Linked DNA regions of Lonchura striata. The protein of the gene in region 3 interacts with the protein of the main gene of each other region in a biochemical or structural test. Links are inferred from orthologs where the notes say so. Each region holds a gene or a part of one and is shown on either strand. Other genes may lie near its edges.

What was found. The genes of interacting proteins can lie anywhere in the genome.
Region 1: the proteins of SIAH2 (region 3) and DLST form a complex in vitro, tested with the Homo sapiens proteins (2 studies listed by BioGRID, with this or other methods). The link is inferred for Lonchura striata from reciprocal best matches to the Homo sapiens genes SIAH2 and DLST.
Region 2: the proteins of SIAH2 (region 3) and EGLN3 form a complex in vitro, tested with the Homo sapiens proteins (2 studies listed by BioGRID). The link is inferred for Lonchura striata from reciprocal best matches to the Homo sapiens genes SIAH2 and EGLN3.

What each region holds. Positions count from the first base shown.
Region 1 is NC_134608.1:23,259,686-23,266,836, forward strand, and holds the start of DLST (dihydrolipoyllysine-residue succinyltransferase component of 2-oxoglutarate dehydrogenase complex, mitochondrial), read right to left. Parts: upstream 3,004-7,151; 5' UTR 2,970-3,003; coding exon 2,901-2,969; intron 1-2,900. Other genes in the region: PROX2 (prospero homeobox protein 2), read left to right, coding at 3,095-3,160, 6,861-7,151. UniProt on the Homo sapiens protein: Dihydrolipoamide succinyltransferase (E2) component of the 2-oxoglutarate dehydrogenase complex. The 2-oxoglutarate dehydrogenase complex catalyzes the overall conversion of 2-oxoglutarate to succinyl-CoA and CO(2).
Region 2 is NC_134608.1:25,775,613-25,783,628, reverse strand, and holds the start of EGLN3 (prolyl hydroxylase EGLN3), read right to left. Parts: upstream 3,004-8,016; 5' UTR 2,819-3,003; coding exon 2,462-2,818; intron 1-2,461. UniProt on the Homo sapiens protein: Prolyl hydroxylase that mediates hydroxylation of proline residues in target proteins, such as PKM, TELO2, ATF4 and HIF1A. Target proteins are preferentially recognized via a LXXLAP motif.
Region 3 is NC_134612.1:26,840,045-26,847,428, forward strand, and holds the start of SIAH2 (E3 ubiquitin-protein ligase SIAH2), read left to right. Parts: upstream 1-4,380; 5' UTR 4,381-4,411; coding exon 4,412-4,780; intron 4,781-5,370; coding exon 5,371-5,928; 3' UTR 5,929-7,384. Other genes in the region: MINDY4B (inactive ubiquitin carboxyl-terminal hydrolase MINDY-4B), read left to right, coding at 128-198, 355-424, 742-897, 975-1,155, 2,522-2,664. UniProt on the Homo sapiens protein: E3 ubiquitin-protein ligase that mediates ubiquitination and subsequent proteasomal degradation of target proteins.

The DNA.
Region 1 (7,151 bases), on a different chromosome or scaffold from region 3:
CCAGGATCAGTAAGACAAACTCCAACTTAAGTGGGTCAGCCCTCCACTGGGTCAGCTCTCTAGAGCACCACAATCCTCAGCACTCTGTATTGATCATATTTTTCTCACTTTCTGTAGTGTCCAAGATAGCATAGAGTCAATCACAAATTGAGTATCAAGCAACCTGAGTTCCCCTCTATCCATTAATGTTTCCCTGGGTGCTTTATTAAAAAAAGTGGTTAAAGGCATTCCTAGAACACCAGACAATAAATTGTTAAGAAAGGAACAGCCTCAGACTGATGCAAAACCAGACAATTTTATTTGCTCAGGACCAGTTTACTGTGGAGATAAAACAAAAAAGAAAATTTAGAAGGTCTGTCCTAAAATAAATTGCTGGGAGAAAATACATCTGCAGCTCTCTTCCACCAGTGGTATCTGGTAGCAAAATTAAGGAAAAAATTGGTATCACTCTATCCTTTGCCTTTAAGGTTAAGAAATTAGGGGAAGGGCTTAATGTGAGGAGGAAGCCACTAATAAAAGATACTGTGATTTTTCTGAATTACATCCTGCAGAACTGCTGTGTGCCTATCTCTTAACCACAGTACCTCTGAGATAAACATGCAGCTTCAGGAGACACAGGACAGGGCTGCTTACAGGGCTGCTTCCTGTTCCATTTTTCCCTGAAGGAATCTTTCTGACTGCACCTCTTCCTGGATCACTTGGCTAAATCTGCCCTCTGCCTTCTACTGGAGCTTTTTCAGTGAGAATGGAAATATTTAAGTTTTGCTACGTGGCTTTGGCACTTTGGGTCAGTTTAAAAAGACAGGCTTCACTTGGGGAAAGAAATCTTGGTCTAATTAGCCAGTGACTCATGTAGCAAGTGATTAATATTTCCCTCTTGTTTCACATGACTTCTCAGAATCGTTTTTATAAGTGTTACTACGTCAAAGTGACCCTGGCATGCATGGTCCCAGGCCACACCTTTATGGAGCCATCACCTTCCAGTAGGTCACTACACACTGAAACAAAGGATGGAATACATCAGCTAAAGCGACAGCCTGTATACCAACAGCGAGGGACCAGTTCAGGTAAGGAATCTGATGAACGTGACAGTGCAGCTCATGTGAACAGAGGCAAACCAGAAGGCCAGTGCTGTGCAGCTCCAACAACAGGCAAAGCAGAAATTGGTTCTCCAGCCATGGCTTCTTGAGAGCAAAGCAGCTGCTGCTCTAACAAGGATGAGCACAAACTCCTGCTCCACACAAAAACCCCACTGCATGGCTTTCATGGGCATCAAAACAATTATATACAGCATGGGAGGGCAGGTGCCAAGATGGGATGGAGATCATGCTGAGTGGTGGACGCTGTTACTAAGACAACAGGCTCAGAACTCCTCCAGCATGAGGGGAGGATCAAACAGGGAAGAAAAAGTTCTTTATGAACTCCTGCCCATAAACAGAAGGATTTGATTCTCAAAGCACTTTACGCAGCTCCTGATCAAATCTATCTTTTCCAGACCAGCTCTTCTCTGGACTTTTTCACATAGCCTTCTACGTCTGCCTGCTCCTGCCCCAACTCTTATGTGCTACAAGCTATTGATACACATTCCTGGTTTCTACTTAATATGAATTCAGAACCTTTTCTTCTTTTACAGACAGCCAAAACCCAGCCAACCCTTCCTCACCCTCACTGACTCCACTCTTCCCCCGTTCAATCCTCCACTTCTGAATTTTGTATATGTCTACCATTCTCACTTCTGCCATCAGAGGTTTGCCAAGTTCTGGGATTTTTTTCTATCTCTCCAAAAAGCCTGTTTTACATAATAAAAATTTACTTCCCATATTGCTGTTCAAATGGAAAGCAAACTTCTACTATAACTCTTTCAGTATATCTAACAGGTTAACTAGCATTCAGCCTAAAACCTCCTGATTTTCAGACTAGTTTTGTAAAAGGTTTGAATACTCCATCTGACTTCTTCCCGTTCTTTATAATTACACAACACCACTGAGAGCTGACAAAGGTTAAATATTGCTAAAATGCCACTTTAATAGGCTTGTTTAAACTGCATTATAACCAATTTTTCTCTAATATATCTGTAACAAACTGTAACTATACAGTTACTTGTAAGTTGTTCATAACACAGTTTTACATGTATACACACAAAGGTGTCGGTACATTACAACTGGTTGTCAACGCTTGCCTACATTTACAGCATGTCTAAAACCAAGTCTCATGCTGGAAGGCTCCAGCTGGTCACTGGAAGAGAAGTGATCTTTCTCATGCCGTAGGTATGCACAAACATGTGTGTGCACATGAAGCTGAAATGGAAGGTGTGAGCAGCAGGACACAGGACCCGGCTGGCCAAGGGCAGCCCCAGGGTTAAGCAGCTGCTGGGCGCTGTCAGCCCACGCTGCAGCCAGCAGAGGCTACCACCGCCTGCCCTGAAAACCGAGCACAGGATTCAAACACCAAACCGCACGCCGGTTGTTGCCGGTCCCGCGCGGCGCGCCCCGGCCGGGGGTCTCTGCCAGCGCAGGCCGGTGGCTGCCAGCAGCGAGGCCTCAGATGCCGCTGACGGGCGGGCCGGCGGAGCCCGAGCGCGGCGCCGTTCGCGAGCCCTTCCCGCCAGCCCTTCCCGCCGCCCGGCTCTGCCGCTGCCGCGCCCTTCCCGCGGGGCCGGGCCTGCCCGCGGGGCAGCGGCACCCGCGGGGAACGGGCAGCGCCGCGCCACCGCGGCCCCCGCTGGGGGACAGCCTCGCCGGCCCTTCCCGTGCCCGGCCCTGCCGCGCCCCGGGGCGGCGGTGCGGAGCGCCCGGCAGCAGGGGACGCGTCCCGGTGCCCTTGGCGCCGCCGACCTCGCCCGCACGGCCGCCGCCCTCCCTCGCCGCCCGCTCCCCGCGGCCGCTGCCCGCGGGCCGTACCTGCCGGAGGGCGCGCAGCGAGCGGCCCAGCGCGCGGCCGAGGCAGCGGGACCGCCACAGCGGCACCATCGCGGCGGCGGCGGCGGCGGCGGGAGGGGCCGCAGGGCGGACACCGGAACCAGGCCCGGCGCGCGGCGGAAGCGCGGGGGGCCGGACCAACCGCCCCAGGACGGGGGGGCGGCCGGGGCGGGACCATGGCGGGCGGGGGCCGGGCCCGGGCCGGGGGCGAGGCTCTGCGCACGATATTCCTGTGTGTTACCGTGTGTGTAATAATACAGGTGTTAATGCGTCCTGTATGATATATATTAAATACTATTACTTATAGATCACATGCATATGAAATAGCTATGCATTACATATATTGATATAACCACGTATATGGATATATCGATGTTACGATATGTAATAGTATATGTGTAATAAATAACCTGTGCATTACGAAGAATGCCGTTTTGTGACGCTGTTCTTTGAAGCAGCTCTGGGTCACTGCGGGACAGCCGTACCCGTGGTTTGCCTGCCCACCTTGGCAAACCATGGGACTGTTCTCGTGTGGGGTGGTGTTGCCACAAGCATCACCCAGTGGGATGCCACAAGGTTAGAAACGGGCAATGAGGTCATCTCACCATGGCAAACAGGAAAATGAGTCCACAAGTAAGCCCTGTTCCTCAGGTGTGCTCTCTATGTTGAAAACATTTGAGAATTCCCCAGCTAGCTTCTGTTTTCTGCCTGCTCCCAGGCAGGGAACCACAGGTGGAAGAAAACCCAAGGAACCCATTTACAGATTCTGAGAATCAGCCTGGGATAGTTATAAAGGGCTGTCTGGCACCAGGTATCTCTCAAGGAGCCAAGTCTGGGTTATGCACATGTGCTTAATTTAGCCACTGCTTAATAATTTATGAATGGTTGACTGCAAACTTCGAAATATGAGATCATTTTCAAAGGAAAGAGGTTGAATAAAAATCAACAGGGGGTAGTCTCTGAGGCTTTGAGGATGAGCTGACTGCTCTAATAAATGATAACTGAGCCAGAAAGGCTCTCTGCCAGGGATTTCTCTATGATCTGTCTTTTGAAGGCTAATATCCTTGAACAATATTGACCACCTGATGTCAACTGCCTTTAACCACGGCCTCCTGCCTACACAGTGAATACACTAAGCACTGCTGTGCTCAGTTAGCATGTGGAAGCAAAGCAGATAAAGCCCCAGGAGTGGCATGCATGGCTAGACTTTGCCCACCCAACCCCAGCTCCTGCACGAGAAGTTTCTGCCAGCCACATGTGCTGCTGGGGCAGGTAGGTTTGTCCTGGGGCTGGGTCAGGACGTGCTCAGCTGGGAGTGATGCCAGCTCTGCTGGGCTCTCTGTAAAGCACCCTGCGACAAGCGAGGGACTCTGTGTTGCTGCTTTTCCTGTGTTGTCCCATTTCTTGGCCGTGTCCTGTGCTGCAGACCTCCAGGACAGCCAAATTGCCTCTGCGCCCCCAGAGTGCGGGATGTGGGAAATGCCTGGCCACTTTCCATGGAAGATGGGTAGCTGGTGGGATCTGGGCCAGCTCCTTCCTTGTGCTTGTGGCACTGCTTGTCAGCCTGGTGTATTTGCATGTCTCACCAACATTTCACTATCCTGAATGGGGCTTCCGGCCAGATTCCAGGGGAAAATTGCTGCTCTGGGCCTCTGCCCACCTGGGTAGCCAGCAGCTCGGCGCCCGATAGCCCTTGCCTGTCTGGCTCAGGGGCTATGAGTGCGGGAGCCAGCAGGGAAGGTGGCGTCGGACATCAGCTCCTGGGTGTCCATCTGCATATTCAGAAGTCGTTCCCAGCTGGTTGGCTGCCTCCAGCCTCCCACTCCCTCTTTAAGGCCCCAGGACGGACCGGCGCTGCCCCCGCGCACCGCGGGCACGGCGGCACACCGGGGATGGGCGGCGGGGACGGCTCGGGGGATCGCCGTCTGCACGGACAGCTCGCTGCTCTCGCTGCTCCGGGCTGCTGGCCCACCCAGGAGCGCCCAGGGAGCCCATGACGGGTGGCTTCAGTTCTGGACAAGGCACGCTGCCCTCGTCTTCTCAGCATCTGCGTTTCGTTCCTGTCTTTCTCTTCAGGTAGGAGGAGTCTCGGCTGCTTTTTAGTGTTCTGGAGGGTGGCACTAAGTGAAAGCTGTGAGTAAGAGTGGGAACCAAAGCACGCACCTGCTAACTCCGTGTGGAAAGAGCTGCATCAGCAGGCGCAGTTCGCTTAGGCAGCGCCTCCTGGTCCTGCGGTGCCGGGGATGCTGTGACCGGAGCCAAGGCCACGCACAGCGGGCTGCCATGGCTTGGGACAGCACGCCCGGCTCCCTCCCTCCCAGTCTCCAGAAAAAAGGCAGTGGTGCTGGAAACCTTAAGCAAGTAGAAGTCACCTTGCCAGCTCTGACTCGATCTGCTTGAAAGGGGTGTATCACCCAGGTTCCAGGGGGCTGGGAAGCCCCAGCCCAGGGGACAGGTAAGCTCCTGACTTTGCTGTTGAGCACAGCACATCACAACACACAGAGAGAAATTGTGAGCAAATGTCAAAAGAAGGTGTTTCTATAGAAAAACAAGTGAGATTACAGGACCACACCATTGAGGAAAGGATTAAGGTTGGATGGAATCTATAACTGTAATGTGTTTGCTGTGTGACTTTGTTGGGTGCAGATGGCAGGCTCAGAGGCAGCTGCAGGCAATGGTGAAATTTATAACACAAGGGCAAGGCAGGATGTTGAGAGCTGCTGGCATCCCAGCCTTGTGCTGCCTGTGGATAAACTGAGCAGTTTGAAATACTCTACAGCAGACTCTTAGGAAAATGAAACCCCAGTGGTCAGGACAGATGGGGAGACAACACAGATCAACATGTGGTGTCAGATAACCCAGAAAATACTTGGTTTGTCAAGACTATGGCTCTGCAAAAGGTAGAGCTCTCCCAGGCACCTGCCTGGAATTCATGGTTGTTTGAAGAAAGGCAACCTGCTGAAAACCCCTGAGAAGAAACCCATTTTCTACACTGCCTGGAGGACTTGGCACAGAGCAGTTACAGGGACAGGAGACTGATGGTGCTGAAAATGATGAGGCATTTCTGGGAATAGCAAAAGAATATCAGACTTTAAAGGTGTCTGGAAAAGACAAGAGCTGTCCTAATAAGTGGTGCAAAGCTACTGCTAATTAAGGTGGATAAGGAAGAAACATCCCACAGGGACAGTTACTGTGCAATTGACCAGGATACAATATTTTACACCTTCTTTTGCAAAGCTGTGCAAGTGGGGAATGAGCAGAGGGGGTGAATCTGTACTTGGAGCCAGTATGACAATTTTAAGCCTGGGGCTGCTGGCTCAGTATTTTTTCTCTTCCCTGATAATCCCCATCCTCATTTCTTTTATTCAGTGTTTAGCCAAGCACTTAGGAAGCCCATGTTGTATTAGCCTGAACATCTCGATGCATCCTGCTCACAGCAGGTCACATTGCACTTTTACCCTCTCTGTGCCCTCCTTCTCCAGCCTGTTTGTGCTGGCCCAGCCCCTAAGTGCTGCCACCCATCCCCGTGCTTGGGGGCTCTGCTGGCAAGTGTTGGGACCGTCAGAAGCCAGCAGGACCCATGGCCTAGCTGGCTGTGTGCTGTGAATGTCTTCACCAAGGATGCAGCCGCTCCTCTGTGCTCTGCCAACACCCAGGAGCAGCACCCAAACCCACCCCTTTGCCCAGGTGTACGTGGCAGAGGGCTCTGCCTGGTGCTCCCTGCCCTCATGCCAGAGCCCACAGGCCCAGAGGGCAGTTTCCCCAAATGCCTCTGGTGCAGATGCAGCTGGTGATGGGGGAAGTTTGTACTGCCAGGCACTGCCAGGCTCAAAGTAGGTGAAATGTACTCCAGACATGATGAATGCCTGGCTGGTAGGTGGGAGGTGTGGTGGTGCCCAGGGTGTTGCTGCTGTTGTGTGACATCTGACAGTCTGCCCACAGGTTTTGCAGTACCTGAAGGTTTCTTCCTGGTCATTCCCTGGTGAAATAGTTTTTGGAGGGGAGCATGGATGCCATGGAAATCTGGGAGAAAAAAAATCTCTGGCCCCGTGTTTGGGAAACTGCTGTATGAGGTCCTGTTTCTCGCTCTTTTTGCAGTTCCATATCACTAGCAGGCAGAAACATCAAACACCTGGGAAATCTGCCAGTCTGTCCAGGCAGGAAGAAAATATGATGGACAGCAGGACTGGCTTTGCGCAGGATAGAGACTGTGCCACTTCAGGGCATGGCCAG
Region 2 (8,016 bases), on a different chromosome or scaffold from region 3:
ATGATGGGCTGATATGACATAAGTACATTTTCATGACAAATTTAGTTAACATGTACCTAAAGGCTTACATTTTAAACAAATTGTTCTGAGCTCTTAGTTCTGAGTAATATCTATATGCCAAAACAATAAATTACAACAGCACATGTCCCACAAAGCAGCTCTGGTCCAGTCACCCATGAACACCCCACATATCCACAAATCTTAAGCTGTGAAAGTTTTGTGGGCATTCATTTACATACATAATCCACCAGATAAAATAAAAATTTGCTGAATTTAAATTTGGGATTTGTGTGTATGCATTAATAAGACTTCAGATGATAAGCAGAATGGGAAGGTTTAATGGTAGAAGAGAGATGTCTTAAACCAATATGGGAACCTGCATGCACTGTAGTAATCAGTTGTTAGTCACAGGAATAATCTTTCTGCTGAAGGCATCCCATGTCTCAGTTACAGACAGCAGCTGCTATTCCAGGGCCTCACATACCCATGGTATTTATTATTATAACAAGGGGATTGGTTACTATACTGATGAAAATTTCTCTGCATTTGGTTTTGCAAACAATAGTGAGATATTGAGTCCCTTTCAGTCCTGGACTCTTGTGCAGCACTTCCATGTGCTGTTTGGATTCTGACAAATTTCACATTAAGTCACAAGAGCCAGAGGTCTCTCTTCATAGTAAATATCTTGCTACCTATTTATAAAACAAGTTATGTTCTATTTTTTATTACTATTTGTACAAGAATGCCTTCAAAAACACCAAAACGCTGTTTTAAAACCATCTCTACAACCCAAAACCACTGCCCAAAAGACCCTTCTTCCCAGCCAGCACCAACAGCCTTCATTCATCCAGATGATTTGTTTTCTAAATACCTCGTAAAAAGTCTGGACAGCCTCCTTTCACACCAATCCAGCTTTTAAATAACGCCCCTCAATATCCACCCCTGCGCACACACCCTTAGCCAGAAATGCACTTTCAGTAGTAAACAGAAATCACCCGGAGAAAGGATAAGGATGACCTTAAAGATGTGCCAAGGCAGGATGGTTATTTATGCCTCCTAATACAAGGCTCTCAACAGGAATAAGTAAAATCCAAACTACCCACATTTTTAAAACATACCTACCCAAGCTTTAACTGAATTGATGATCACTAATTCTAAAGAGCTAAGCATAAGGAACAATGTTTCAACTTTTACTATTCCCACTACCGTGTGTAAATGCATGGGGATGCATGCAAAGGTTTCAGTGTGTTCCCAAGCAACTGGTAAATATCACTGTACCTTTTTCATCATTTTTCAGGGGGGAATCACAATACCACTCACACACGCCCTTAGTCAGTGCAAGTTAGGATCAAGAGAAATGCCTAGCTTCTCCCTATTGTAATTTTTTAAAACTTTCATTGTTTTTGTTTCTGGCATATCTCTAACAGCAGCGGACCTTTTGAAAATGTACTGTGTCAAGTCAGAAATAAAGAAATAAGGATGTTTTCAGTATTCAGGACAACAAAGTAAACTTAGTTCCAAGTTAGTACACTTTGCCGTAGCAAAACAGACAAGGAAAGAAAAGACGAGTTAACTCCACACTAATGGCATTGCAAGTGCAAATAAACTTCATTGGGAAAGAAACTAATAATACAAGTGTCCCCTTCATTTCTGAGAAAGCCTAGAAAAAGCAATTTGTCTCTTTAAAACAAAAGTTTGCTGCGCTCAAACTACTAAACATCCCGTATTCTGGCCATACTCAATGCGGTAACGATAACCTCTTCAGCTGTAGAACGGCGACAAGAGTCGGAACCGCGAAACTATGCAGGATAATACATGGGCGAAAACATCTTAACAATCGGATCAGAGCTGGCTACGTTCCCAGGGAGAGTGTGGAGACCTTGCTCCCCCCCGAAATAGCCAAGGTTAGACGTTTTTGGTGGGGTACGCCCCTGTCCGCACCTGGGGTGAGCGCAAGGAGAACCGGGGTGCAGTCGGCTCCAGCCCCACTGCGAGAAGCAAGGAGCCCCCGGGACGGCTGCGAAGGGATGGCCGGTGTCACACAGGTGAAAAGGCAAGGGACTGGATGGGGTCCGGCAGCGGTAAAGCCCGGAGAAAACCCAACAAGGGGAGCTGCGAGGAGCCGCCCCGGAGCGCTGCTGGCACCGGCGGGGCGAGGGACCCGCAGGGAGCGGCCCCGCTTTCCGCGGGACCCCGCACCCGGCGGCAAGGGCTGGAGAGCGGCTGCCGTCACGGGAGTCCCTCGGGCAGCGCACCGCGCCTCCGCCACCCGGGCGGTGCTGCGGGACAGCCCCGCGGGACTGCCCGAGCCACGGGCACCCGCCGATAGCGCCGACGCGCCACGGACGAGTGCCCGTGGAAAGTTTGGGGCGGGTCCCGCCGGCAGCTGCGAGGCGGGTCGGGCCGGCTGGGAGCCCGTGCCGGCGGGCGGACGGGAGGTCGGGGCTCCGCGGACCCTTACCTTGGATCGCTCTTTCACGTAGTACTTGCCGAGCCGGCTCCCGCAGTACATCACCAGCCGGTCTATCAGAGTGAGGAGAAAGTTGATGGCCTCGCAGCCCTCCTCCGTGCCTCCGATCCACTTTATCTGGTCTCCGCGGAGATGCCGCTTGGCGACGCCGCGGCTGGGGCCGGCTAGCTGCCCGTCGGCCAGTTCCCCGTCGCGGTGCATCCGCTTCACCCGCTCCAGCACGCAGTCCCCCACCACCTCCCCCAAGAAGTTGTCCAGGTAGCAGAAGCCGATGTCGTGCAAGCAGGGCACGACGTACTCCAGGGCGATTCTCTCCAGGTCCAGCCTCATGATGTGTCCCAGCGGCATGGCGCGGCGGGGACGGGCGCGCCGCTGCTCTGCCGGCGCCCGCGCTGGGAGGCGATGCCCGTGGGGCCGCCGTCCGCTCCAGACCGAGCCGGGCAGGGGCTCCGCCGCGGCGCGAGGCCAGGCGAGGCGAGGTAAAACTTTGGCCGCTGCAGGCTCGGCTACGCACCGCGGCCCGGCGCTGCGGGAGCGGCGGTGCTGCCGAAGCCCCGCGCTGGCGCTCCTGCCGCTGGCGCCCCAGCAGTGCGCGGGAGCGCCCGGGGCGTGCGGGAAGGGCGCGGGCAGCCCCCGCCCGCGGCGAGGAGGGCGGCAGATGGCCCCGCGCTGATTAACGCGCCGGCTACGTGCGGGATGTGTGCTCGCGCCGCCGCACGTGGGCGGGGCCGCCCGGCGCGATCGCCCCGCCCGCTCCCGCCCGCGGCGGCCCGGGCGGCCAATCGCGCGGCGCGGGGCGGGGCCGGCCCGCGGGGAGCGCGCGGCGAGGGCTCCCGCACGTGCGCGGGGGGCGCGGCCCGCCGTCCCGCGCGCCCCCGGAGTGGGCGTGGGCAGCGCCATTGAGGAATTCTCGCCTGGCATGTCGGCTGCGACCCCCGCGCCTCGCCCTGCTCCGCCGCTCGGAGCTCTTGGAACGGTCCGGGTGAACTCTGCCAATGCCCCGCCGGGGCTCTCCGGCCGCCTTACCTCCGCCTACCGCGGCGGCAGTTTCAGCGCCAGACGGAACTGTTGCATTACGCGGCAGACACAGTTTTTCTGGCCGAAGAACGCACCTTTTACAAAAGGTTTACATAGCAAAACAGTACTTTCCCTTGAATTATTTATCCCCAAGGGCCCGCCAGGTTGCTTGGCTCCGGTAGCAGGCAACACCTCCCGGACCGTCGGCGGCTTCGTGCCGCGAGAGGACAGCTGCGGTCAAACCGTGACAAAATTCGTTCTAAACCAAAACTCGCCTTTCCCCCGCGTGCCCCTTGCCGGTAACACTGTCCCTGCAGCGGCCGGCCACGGAGTACGGTCCCGCGGCCGCTGTTGGGTCTGCTCGACAGCAGCACGCTTTCGCGTAAAATGCCTCCTGAGAGGCGAGCAGCAGACCTCCGCTCAGCTCCGTTCGCACACGCCCGGGATTTGCTAAACAAACGAGAGAAACCTCTACAGAAGCCAAAACCAAAGCAAAGTCACGTTGCGGAGAGGCGCTCCCTGCGGCCAAGCCGGGCGGGATAGGGCGGCCGTGCCCGGGTCGGTGCCTGTGAAGTTCCCGATGCCACAGAGACCCGCGGCCGTCCGTGTGCCGAGCGCGTCCGTCCTGCTCGGCGGCCCCGGCGCTGGCCCCGGCGGCCCCGGCGCTGGCCCCGGCGCTGGCCCCGGCGCTGGCCCCGGCGCTGGCCCCGGCGCTGGCCCCGGCGCTGGCCCCGGCGCTGGCCCCGGCGCTGGCCCCGGCGGCCCCGGCGCTGGCCCCGGCGCTGGCCCCGGCGGCCCCGCGGGCTCCGCGCCCACACGCGCACCCCTCCGCACCCCCACGGGCTGAGCTCCGGCCGGGAGCCCGCAGGGCGCGGCCCGTGGATGTGCCTGCCCGTGGCGGATGCGCCCCACGGAGCCCGCGCAGCGCCCGGCACAGCGGCACGGCACGGCACGGCACGGCACGGCACGGGACTGACACGGCTCCGGCTGGGAACCGGCACATTTCACCCCCAAAAAAGGCAAAATAGGTGCTGGTTCTTTTTTTCCCCTTCACGTCGCGAATGCTGACGGGATTACCAGCAGTCCATGCTGCTGATGCTGCTCGAGCTGCAACTCCAAGCCCCGGCATACGCAGGAGCGGGTCACGTATTCCACGTTTGTTCTCCTTGAATCCAGTGGTATCTACCCCTCAGTGCACAGCACTAAGCACAGGTCTAATCCTCTAAAGTTATTCCCTGACAGCTCTGTCGAGAGACCAGCAACATTATATCAGATAAATTCATATCTGGTGAGATATGAACTATCAAAGGACCTTATTTGATTTAGATACACACTTCACATTAAAGTGGGGTTATAATTAATAAGATACAATTATGAATCTTATTAATCCCTTAATGCTTATCTGAAAAATCAGTAATGTATGATAGGTTAAGAGCAGTTGTCATAATCAGGCAAGGGATGTAAGATTAGTTCAACTGCAAAGTATCAACGTTATGAAATTTGCATACATTAGGAAATATTGTTGATGCATTATTGTACTGTTTACACATTTTTATTATATAAAATAAAACCCTTTGATTTTCCCCCTTTTCTTGTTTACACACACATGCAAATATACAGTCCTGTACCAGAATCAAGTACTTGTAGATGCTGAACTTCCAGCCTTTCTATCAAGTGTAATGATGCCACTTGAACAAGTCAAGGACTAAGAGGGATGCCTTCTGGCAATAGCTGAAGTTGGTCTTTACAGCATTATTTCTCTTTTTTTGAAAGTTTGAAATTACGAGTTAGACTGATGCCAGATCTCCATCAGAAAAAGTCACCTTAGGGAGTTAGAGATTTGTCTTAGAAAACTGAGTCCACAGCCCCAGCTGCAGAGTGATGTTCACAGAGTTGTAAATACATTTGTTCCTCCAGCATTGATGTCATGTCTTCCTCAGGTGGGCATTCACTGCCATTTGCTGGCAAATCAGGTTTTCTGGTGGACAAAGTGTTTTGTCACTTGAAGCATGATGTGCTTTTCATACTAGCATTTTAAATAGCAGTCAGATGCATTACTGTTCCATATGAAGATAAAACATCAGGAGGAACAAGAGTACTGATTCTATTTATTAATTGGTTCTATTTTACTTCATCTCTTTGTCCCTTGATGAGGATGATAATGAAGGTGTGTGATAGAGTTTGTGATTGCTTAGGTTAGAACTTCTCCATGCATGCAGAGTGCGCTCGGGAACAGTTTTCATTCCTTCATTATAGTTTGTAACCTGAGCAGTCACAGGCTCTATCACACAGCTTGATCATCACCAAGAAAGCACAAATTTCTGCCTAGCCCACAGACACTCTTCAAGAGCTCTCTCATTCTCCTTAGGGGTAGCAAAGCTGAGTTGAGAGATGCTAGGCTGCAACTGTAGTAATTCCCAAGCTAAGACATTAATTTGACAATAAAAGGAAAAGCAGTCCTCAGTGTATACTACAGCGTGTTAGAACCACCCAGAAGAATAAAAGAGCTGGAACAGGACCAGACATTGTACCTCCCATAGCACTTCTTGTGACCACTCCACTGCTCTCCAAACAAAGCTATCACAGAGCATGTACAATCTAAGTGTTGCACAGGGCATAAACAAAGGACTGAGGGTGTGAAATCAGGCAATTCACATCATCTGTTCTTTTGGACATGCATAAAGTTTGTTTACAGTGCTGTGCATCTCAGGCATGAAAGGTGTCACCACACTTTAATTAAAAATCCTACATCATTCAATTATATATGGGCAATCCCTCTGCCATGTAAAGCTCTGTTTATCCTTACAGTGTATATTTTTTTCACTTCTAAAATTAATTCTGTGTTTTCTTATTTTCCATTTAATCTAATTTTGAAAACTTCTAACTTCTGAGTCCTGCATATCTGTTGCTTGCACTGCCAGCATAGCACACATTAGAGTTCAGTAGACTAAAACAGGACATTAGCAAGCTGGCAGAATGATTTTAAGGAGATTTGTTTTAGAGGATTAGAATAATTGGTGTCAGTCAAGCCTGGATATTAGTTATACACTAATGCTATTTTTTTGACAAGAGAATTTACAGATGAAATGCTTCACACTTTTTTAGAGCAGGGAGTTTTAAACATTTTGAGTCTTGTTTTCAGACTTTTCTGCTGGAAAGCCAGACTTCTTCAGTGCCAAGGGCTGAACTGCAAAAGCCCCAGCAAGAGCAAGTGAAGAGAATTCTTTATATCAGTGAGAAACTGTAAAACAGTATTCTTAATACCTCATAGCATAATTTGTAGAGCCAATGTCTCATGATCTAGTGAGAAAATAACTGAAGTTCTGCCTACAGAAGGTACTTTTCTGACAACGTTGGTGTGGTTATATAACCCCTCTGGCCAAGGAGCAGGTAGTGTTTGTACAGGGATGACACACCAGTGCTACCACACCTTGCCATGGCTTCCTAAGAGGTCACTAACCCCACCTGTCCTTCTCATCCCTCTGCTGCAGGTTTCAACCTCTCCTCCGCAGCACTGGCAGAAGAGAATGTGTTTCTGCCTCAGTCCCTTCAAAAGTGCAAAGTCCAGAGCCTTACATCCATCTTCACTGGAGGCTTAGTTTTACACAGAAATAGCTGAGGCATCACCAGCTGTACCATTCCTTTGCCTGCTGTGCTGGAATCAACTCCTGGCAGAACAGCTGTGTTTTGGTGTGATGTGTCCTCCAAATGCAGCCACAAGACTTGTCAGAGCTCCTTTGTCAGCACCTTTAATATTATGCCACAATGAGATCAGGAATGAGGGCAAAGGTGTCTGTCATGGCTTGAGTTGAGCTAACAACTCATTCAGCACCTCTCTTTGCACTTGCTTTGGCACACTTTGGACTCCTTGATGGCTGTTTTCCTTTTCTAAGGTGGCAGAAAAGCAATTTTGAGAAAAGAAAAAAAAAAAAAAGAGTCATTTGGGAAGTTATCTTAGGTCCAGTGAGTGTTGCCTTCAGATGAGAAGGTAAGGCGACCTGGTTTCAAGGGACAGCACGGCAGCCCAGCCTCGCCCGGGCCACTCGGACCACAGACATACCCAGACACCAATGTGGTGGATGGTCAAATGGCGTTTATTACCTTATCTCGTGAGGTTAAATAGTCAAGGGGGCTTTGCTACATCAAAGGAAGAAGGTAGGATCTCTAGGATTAGTAAGGAGTGGAAAACTACTGGGTTAGGTGGGGTTACGTGTCTTGGGGGTAATGGATTACATATCACAGGATGAGGAGGAAGGGTCTTGCTTTCTGTCACATCCCGAAATCTTCCATTCGCCTGTCCCTATCTACCACAAGTGAGATGCGCTGGAAGGATGGGAACCATTGGGACTGACCCCTTTGGGCATGAGTGAACAATCTGATGAACAAGAAGGAAGACCAGGTGTCTGGCTGAGGTGGTGACTCTGCCTCTCAGCTCTGCCCTGGTGAGACCCCACAAGGAGTGCTGGGTCCAGATCTGGGCTGGACCTCTCTTATGAAGACAGGCTGAGAGAGCTGGGAGAAGAGAAGGC
Region 3 (7,384 bases):
AATAGCACCTTACTCATCTAACTCAACACGCACACCTAGGGCTGTATTTAAGCAGAAGAATTGTTTTAATTCAATATGATTTACTAGCCATAATTCCTTCCCTGTGATGCCTTATTTCTTTTTTCAGTTCAAAGGTGAAGGAAGCCATGGAGTGATCCTATTTTTATACAGTTTACTTTTCTCTAGGACACTTGAAAGGTATATTTTGCTTTTTAAACATTTTCCTGTAGTTTGATTGCATCTCCTGAAAAGCCTTTTCCTTTCCTCCCATCTCTCTTGGTCAGGAAGGGAGGTGCAGTGCTGCCTCTGCCACAAGCCCACTGCTGCCCTGATGATCTGTGCTTGGTCACACAGGGTCCAAGAGGATTTGGGTGACACAGCTCCTCTGCTGAACATCAGTTCTGGAAATGTCTCCTGTACAGAGGTAGGATCAGCCACATGTCTTAAGCATTTTTTCCAGTTTTACTAGTCCCATATCTGATTTAGGAAAAAAAATTACTTGTTAATTAATCCAAGCAAAAAGAAGCCTAAGTTCATAAAAAAAAATATTTTGCAATTTTAATCATGGCTGTGCACTTGAAAAACTGATGATGATGATAGTAGCAATAATTTTTAAAATGCCACTGGCAGCCTGGCATTCCCCAAAAGTTGTGCCAGACGTGGCAGAGCTGGGAGCAGGGCACCACGCGCCAGGGCCGTTACTCCGTGTCCCCGGGCTGTGCCCGGGCTGTGTCCCCGCAGGCCGTGCTCAGCCTGCTCCTGACGGGACGGGCGAGCCCGGAGCTCGGCGGCAGCCGGCAGCCGCAGCCCGGCGCCGCGGACGGGGGCGGCGCGGCCCCGTGGCAGCGGGGCCCGGTGGGCTTCCTGCGCTGGGAGCGGGCGCCGGTGGAGCGGCAGGTGAGCGCAGGGGCAGCCCCACGGCCAGCGGGACCCTCGGCACAGCCCGGGCTCCTGGCAAGCGTCCCCCTGGCCAGGTGAGCCCCGGGCTGCGGACGCCCCGGCTGCCCGTGTGGCTGTGCAGCGTCTCGGGCAGGCACAGCGTGCTCTTCGGCACCGACCGCCGGCTGATCTCCGACTGGAAATCCGAGAGAATTTTCCACCTGTACTTCTACACTGGGCAGCAGGAGCAGACCCAAACTGCCCACCTGACGATAGGTACGACCCAGACTTACCAGGGACTGAGGTATGGGCATCTCAGACTATCACAGACAACCCGTTCCTGCGCTAAATACTCAATACAAAGTTTAAACACACCAGGAAGCTGGACTGTTTCATGATTAATTCAAAATTTATAATAATATTCTCTCCAGCTGCTGGGGTGTTACCCCACCCAGCCCTCAAGCCCTGTGCAGCTGCTCACTCACTCCCCACCCGCAGGATCAGGGAGGGAGTTGGAAGGGTAGAAGTTAAAGAACTTGGCTGAGATAGAGACAGGGTAATAAGAAAAGCAAAAGCCACACACAAGCCAAGGAAAATAAGAATGAATTCACTTCCTCCACAGGCAGACAGGTGTTGCAGGGCCCCATCACATACAACAGTGGCTTGGGAAGACAAACACCACACTCAATAGTCCTTTCTCTTCCTTCTCCCCATTTCACATACTGAGCACGAGGTCATACGGTCTGGAATACCCCTTTGATCATTTTGGCTCCTCTGTCCTGGCTGTGTCTTCTCCCAGCCTGCCATGCACCCCCAACTTCCTCACCAGCGCAGCAGTAGGAGGAAGCAAAAAGGCCTTGGCTATGCCCAGCCATAACAAAATCACCTCTGTATAATCAACCCTGTGTTCAGCACAAATCCAAAACACAGCTCCATACCAGACGCTGAGAAGGCAATGAATTCTATCCCAGACAAAGCCTGCACACCAACACATGAGGCTGGCACGCAGCAGGGCCACCTGCCTGTCTGACTGAGGCTGAAGCGTGTCTTCCTGCTCAGCACCAGCTGCCACCATGGCCCTTGTGCTCCTCACCAAGTTTCATATCCTCCCAGGAGGGACAAACTGCTCCTGCAGCAATGCTTTGGTTGTGAACAAGGTTTTGTGCTTGGGGTGCAAGATTCTTGTTTCTCTGCTGCTGTGCAACACCTTCCTCACTGGGTGCCTCCTTCCTTACTCTCCTTTCACTGCAGCATTCAAAGCAAAGTCAGAACCTTGAAACTAAAGGGTAAATCTGCGGGGAAGCAGAGTGATTTGAGATCAACCCTCATGATACCTGGTGCAGCAGCCACAGACACTATCTGAGCATCTGCTCAGAAAAGCAGTATGCAAACACACCGTGCAAGCAGCCCAGAGCTGCACTTAGAGCACCGGAATTTCCCGGGGAAGCCCACGGTGCACGGTGCACGGGCAGTCCCCAGCCCCGGAGGCCCTGCTTACCCTCCCCCCGCTCCCTGGGGCAGAACGGCAGCACATCTACACCAATACAGCTGCAGAAGCTTCTGCTTTTAGCCGTCACTTTTTGAGTGGGGTTGGGTTTAAAGATTTTTTTTTTTAGACATTTATTTTTCATTTCCTCTTCAGACACTCATTCACATCACTGGGAAGAGGCTCAAAGAGAAGGCCCGTGCAGCCCAGGGAAGAGGCGCCCAGCCCTGGAGATGGCAATCAGGACCAAGTGGGCAGGTGCGACCGTCAGCTGGAACGGGACAGATCCCTTCTTCTGAGGAGTGAGCAGGATGGACCCCTGCTCCTGAAGGGTACTAGCATCTCCCACACTACCAACTGCACTGGTCACTGCAGTCTGGAGGACAAAAAGCTCTCTCCCAGGTCAAAAACCCTTTGGTGCATTGAAGGGACACCTGACTATAAGGCATCACACCCACTGCAAAAGTGTGCATTGCAGGAACAGTGACTTGCAACCCTGTCCCACTGCACGCCTTTTCCAGGTGGTAGGATGCAGGTTCTCCTGCTCCCAACAACAGCTGGCAGGGAAAGGAAAGAGTCAAGCCCTGGCACAGCCGCCCATGGCAGTGGTGGAATCTCCATCCCTGGAGGAGCTCAAAAGCTGTGCAGATGTGGGATTTGGGAACATGGTTTAGTGGTGGCCTTGGCAGTGCTGGGGTAATGGTTGGACTAGTTGGGTCTTAGAGGGCTTTTCCAACTCCAGCTGCTCTGGGGCTCTGTAATTCAGTGATTTTACTGCCTTTGCCAAATCCTGGCACCCTGCATTTGCCTGACAAGCATGGGTATGGCACATTGCTTCTAGCTCACAGAAACCACTGTCCACTTCCTTTTTCATTGTCATTACTCCAAAACCACCTGTAAGTCACACCCTTAATGTATTGCTAAAGTCAAATGAGAACAGTAAACCTTCCGCAAGCGATCCAGAAACTTGGTTCAGGTTTATTGAATTTTATAAAAAATAAAAAGAAGCCACGACACCCAGCCAGAGATTATGCTGGGCTGGGATGAGGAGATGCTGGTTACAGCTGGTGTGAGGTCTGCGACCCCACTGTGGAACCGCAGCTCAGCCCCAGCGCTGCAGTGCCCGGGCACCCACAGCTCCCGCGGCACCGGGAGAGGGGCCCAGGGCTGCGGGGGATGCACGGTCCCGCCGAGGGGCATGGTCCTGGTAAAGGGATACACTCCCGGTGAGGGGGCATGGTCCTGGTGAGGGGCTGGCAGGACACGGTCCCGCTGAGGGGACACGGTCCCTGTGAGGGGACACGGTCCCGCTGAGGGGACACGGTCCCGGTGGAGCGGCACTGTCCCGGTGAAGGAAGGGACACGGTCCCGGTGAGGGGACACGGTCCCGGTGAAGGGACACGGTCCCGGTGAAGGAAGGGACACGGTCCCGCTGAGGGGACACGGTCCCGGTGGAGCGGCACTGTCCCGGTGAAGGAAGGGACACGGTCCCGGTGAAGGGACACGGTCCCGGTGAAGGAAGGGACACGGTCCCGGTGAAGGGACACGGTCCCGCTGAGGGGACACGGTCCCGGTGAAGGAAGGGACACGGTCCCGGTGAAGGAAGGGACACGGTCCCGGTGAAGGGACACGGTCCCGGTGAAGGAAGGGACACGGTCCCGCTGAGGGGACACGGTCCCGGTGAAGGGACACGGTCCCGGTGAAGGAAGGGACACGGTCCCGCTGAGGGGACACGGTCCCGGTGAAGGAAGGGACACGGTCCCGGTGAAGGGACACGGTCCCGGTGAAGGAAGGGACACGGTCCCGCTGAGGGGACACGGTCCCGGTGAAGGAAGGGACACGGTCCCGCTGAGGGGACACACTCCCGCGCAGCGCGGGCGGGCCCGCGCGGGGCACGCCGGGAGCGGGGCGGGTGCCGCGCGCAGCCGCCGCTCGCCCCGCACCGCCCCGTCCATCCTCATCCTCCTCCTCCTCCTCCTCCTCCTCATCCTCCGCCTCCGCCCGCCTCCCAGCGCGGCCCGATGGTGGCGGTGGCGGCGAGGCGCGATGAGCCGCCCGTCCTCCGCCGGCCCCGGCCCTAGCAAGCCTTGCGGGAAGCAGCAGCAGCACGCCCCGTCCCCCGCCGCCGTCCTGCCGGGGACCGGCGGCGCTTCTCCGCCGCCTCCCCCTCCTCCTCCTCTTCCTCCCCCCCAGCAGCAGCAGCAGCAGCAGCAGGAGCTGACCTCGCTCTTCGAGTGCCCCATCTGCTTCGACTATATCCTGCCGCCCATCCTGCAGTGCCAGGCCGGGCACCTGGTGTGCAAGCAATGCCGGCAGCAGCTGAGCCTCTGTCCCACCTGCCGTGGCTCCCTCACCCCCAACATCAGGAACCTGGCCATGGAGAAGGTGGCCTCGGCCGTCCTCTTCCCGTGCAAGGTAAGGATGAGCGGCTGGGCAGGGGGACGGGAGGGCCACCCAGACCAGCCCCGATCCCTGTGCCCCTGCGGAAAACCCCCAGCCATCATCCCCATCCCTGTACTCCTGCAAAAAAAAACCCATCCCTGTACCTCTGCAGAAAACCCCCAGCCATCACCCCCACATCCATATCCCCAGACCACCCCCCTATATCCTCCTACAGAGGACACCCACCCACCATCCCAGTTGTTGAAACTAGAATCCTCTGTTCTTTTTAAAGAAAAGGAATATCCAAGCCAGGACCTCTCCAGCTGATCTGGACGGATCAGATCTAACTACTACAGCAGATCTAACAGCAACGCAGCCATACAACCCATTTTATCTAAGTGCTTGCATTAGGAAAAAACAACCTCAAAAGATGAGAAGAATCCATTTTAAGTGGAAACAAAAACTAAGTAAAGCTCAGCTTGAAGCCAGGGCTCCATACAATGTAAAGTTTGCAATGAGAATGAGAGCTCTGGTTGATCACCTGTGTTTCCAGTTGACGGGTGGGAGCAGCACATACTAGGGCTGATGCCTTTCCTGACAGCTTGTGTTTGGTCTCTTTCCAGTATGCCACAACAGGCTGCTCCCTGACCCTCCACCACACAGAAAAGCCAAAACATGAAGCCATCTGTGAGTACCGTCCCTACTCCTGCCCGTGCCCTGGTACCTCCTGTGACTGGGAGGGGTCCTTGGAAGCCGTGATGTCCCACCTCATGCATGCCCACAAAAGCATTACCACCCTTCAGGGAGAAGACATCATTTTCCTTGCCACAGACATTAACCTGCCAGGGGCAGTGGACTGGGTGATGATGCAGTCGTGCTTTGGTCACCACTTCATGCTGGTGCTGAAGAAACAGGAGAAGTGTGAAGGTCACCAGCAGTTTTTTGCCACCGTGCTGCTCATTGGCACCCGTAAGCAGGCAGAGAACTTTCAGTACAGACTGGAGCTGCACAGCAGCTGCCACCGACTGACCTGGGAGGCATCTCCCTGCTCCATCCACGACGGCGTGTCCATGGCCATCCGCAACAGCAACTGCCTCATTTTTGATACAGCTACTGCACACCTTTTTGCTGACAACGGAAACCTCGGCATCAACGTGACAATTTCCATGTGTTGCCCGTGATGCATTGCTAGCGAGACTCGAGCTGTCTGGATGTAGTGCTTCACTGGGTTTTGGTTTTGGTTCCCATTTTTTATGCTATTCAACTATGTCATCTTGTATGCTAAGGTTTCTGACTAGCCAACAACTGTAATTCTGGGCAGAAGAGGAACAACAGTATGCTGTAAGTAATGTGAGCAGGACAAGGTCTTTTAAAATTCTTGGGTGCCTTAGGAAGACTACACACAAGATTACACACCTTTTGTAATTTAATTATATTTTATGTAAAGAGTGCTTCCATTGGATATATGGCTTAAGAGGCTCCTGTTTGGAGCACACCTAAAAAGCCCTTTCATCAGCAGTACAGATTCTGTCTGATGCTGGTGAGCTTTAATAAAAGGCTTTAGTATCACAAGAGGGTTTGGTTTAGAAGAGACTATCATCTGTTCCAATCCTCCTGCCATGGCAGGGAGACCTTCCACTATCCCAGGCTGCTCCAGCCCCAGTGTCCAGCCTGGCCTTGGGCAGTGCCAGGGATCCAGGGGCAGCCACAGCTGCTCTGGGCACTTACACCAGGGCCTGCCCACCTTCCCAGGGAACAATTCCTGCCCAATATTCCATCTCACCCTATCCACTGGCAGTGGGAAGCCAGCCCCCCTTGTCCTGTCACTCCAGGCCCCTGTCCAAAGTCCCTCTCCAGCTCTCTTGTAGCACCATTAGGCCCTGGAAGGGACTCTAAGTTCTCATGATTTGCCCTTAGTGAAGCCATGTTGACTATCACCAATCACCTCCTTATTTTCCATGTGCCTTAGCATAGTTTCCAGGAGGATCTGCTCCAAACTCTTTCCAGGCACTGATGTGAGACCTGACAACCTGTAGTTCTCTGGATCTTCCTTTTTCCTCTTTCTAAAAAAAGACGGTTATGTTTCCCCTTTCGGAGTCAGTGGGAACTCCTCTGGATTCCAGAACTTCTCAAATGTGATGGATGATAGTGGCCAAGCCGCTTCCTCCACCAGTCCCTCTGAACCCACGGGTGCATTTTGTCAGGTCCCATGGACTTGTGCACCTTCAGGTCCCTTCGACCTCCTCGACCCCAGTCCTCTCCTGCTGCAGGCAGTTCTTTGCTCCCCCACTCTCTGCCTCTGCCTCCTGCAATTTGGGCAGAGTGGCTGGAGCAGTTTGCCACGAAGGCTGAGTCAGAAACGTGGCTGAGTACCTCAGCCCTCTCCAAGTCCCAGGGAACTGGTGTTCCCGTTTCCTTCCATAGAGGGTCCACATTGTCCCAGGTCTTCCTTTTATCACCAGTGTACCTATAGAGGTTGCTTTGCTTGTTGCCCTTGATGCCCCTGGCCAGATTTAAGTCTTTCAGGCTCTAGCAATCCTAACCTGACCCCTGGCTGCTCACAATCTTCCCTGGCTGCCTGTCCTGTCCTAGTAGGTGAAAAAGGAAGAAAATCCAAGTAACCTTTCACTGGAGCTG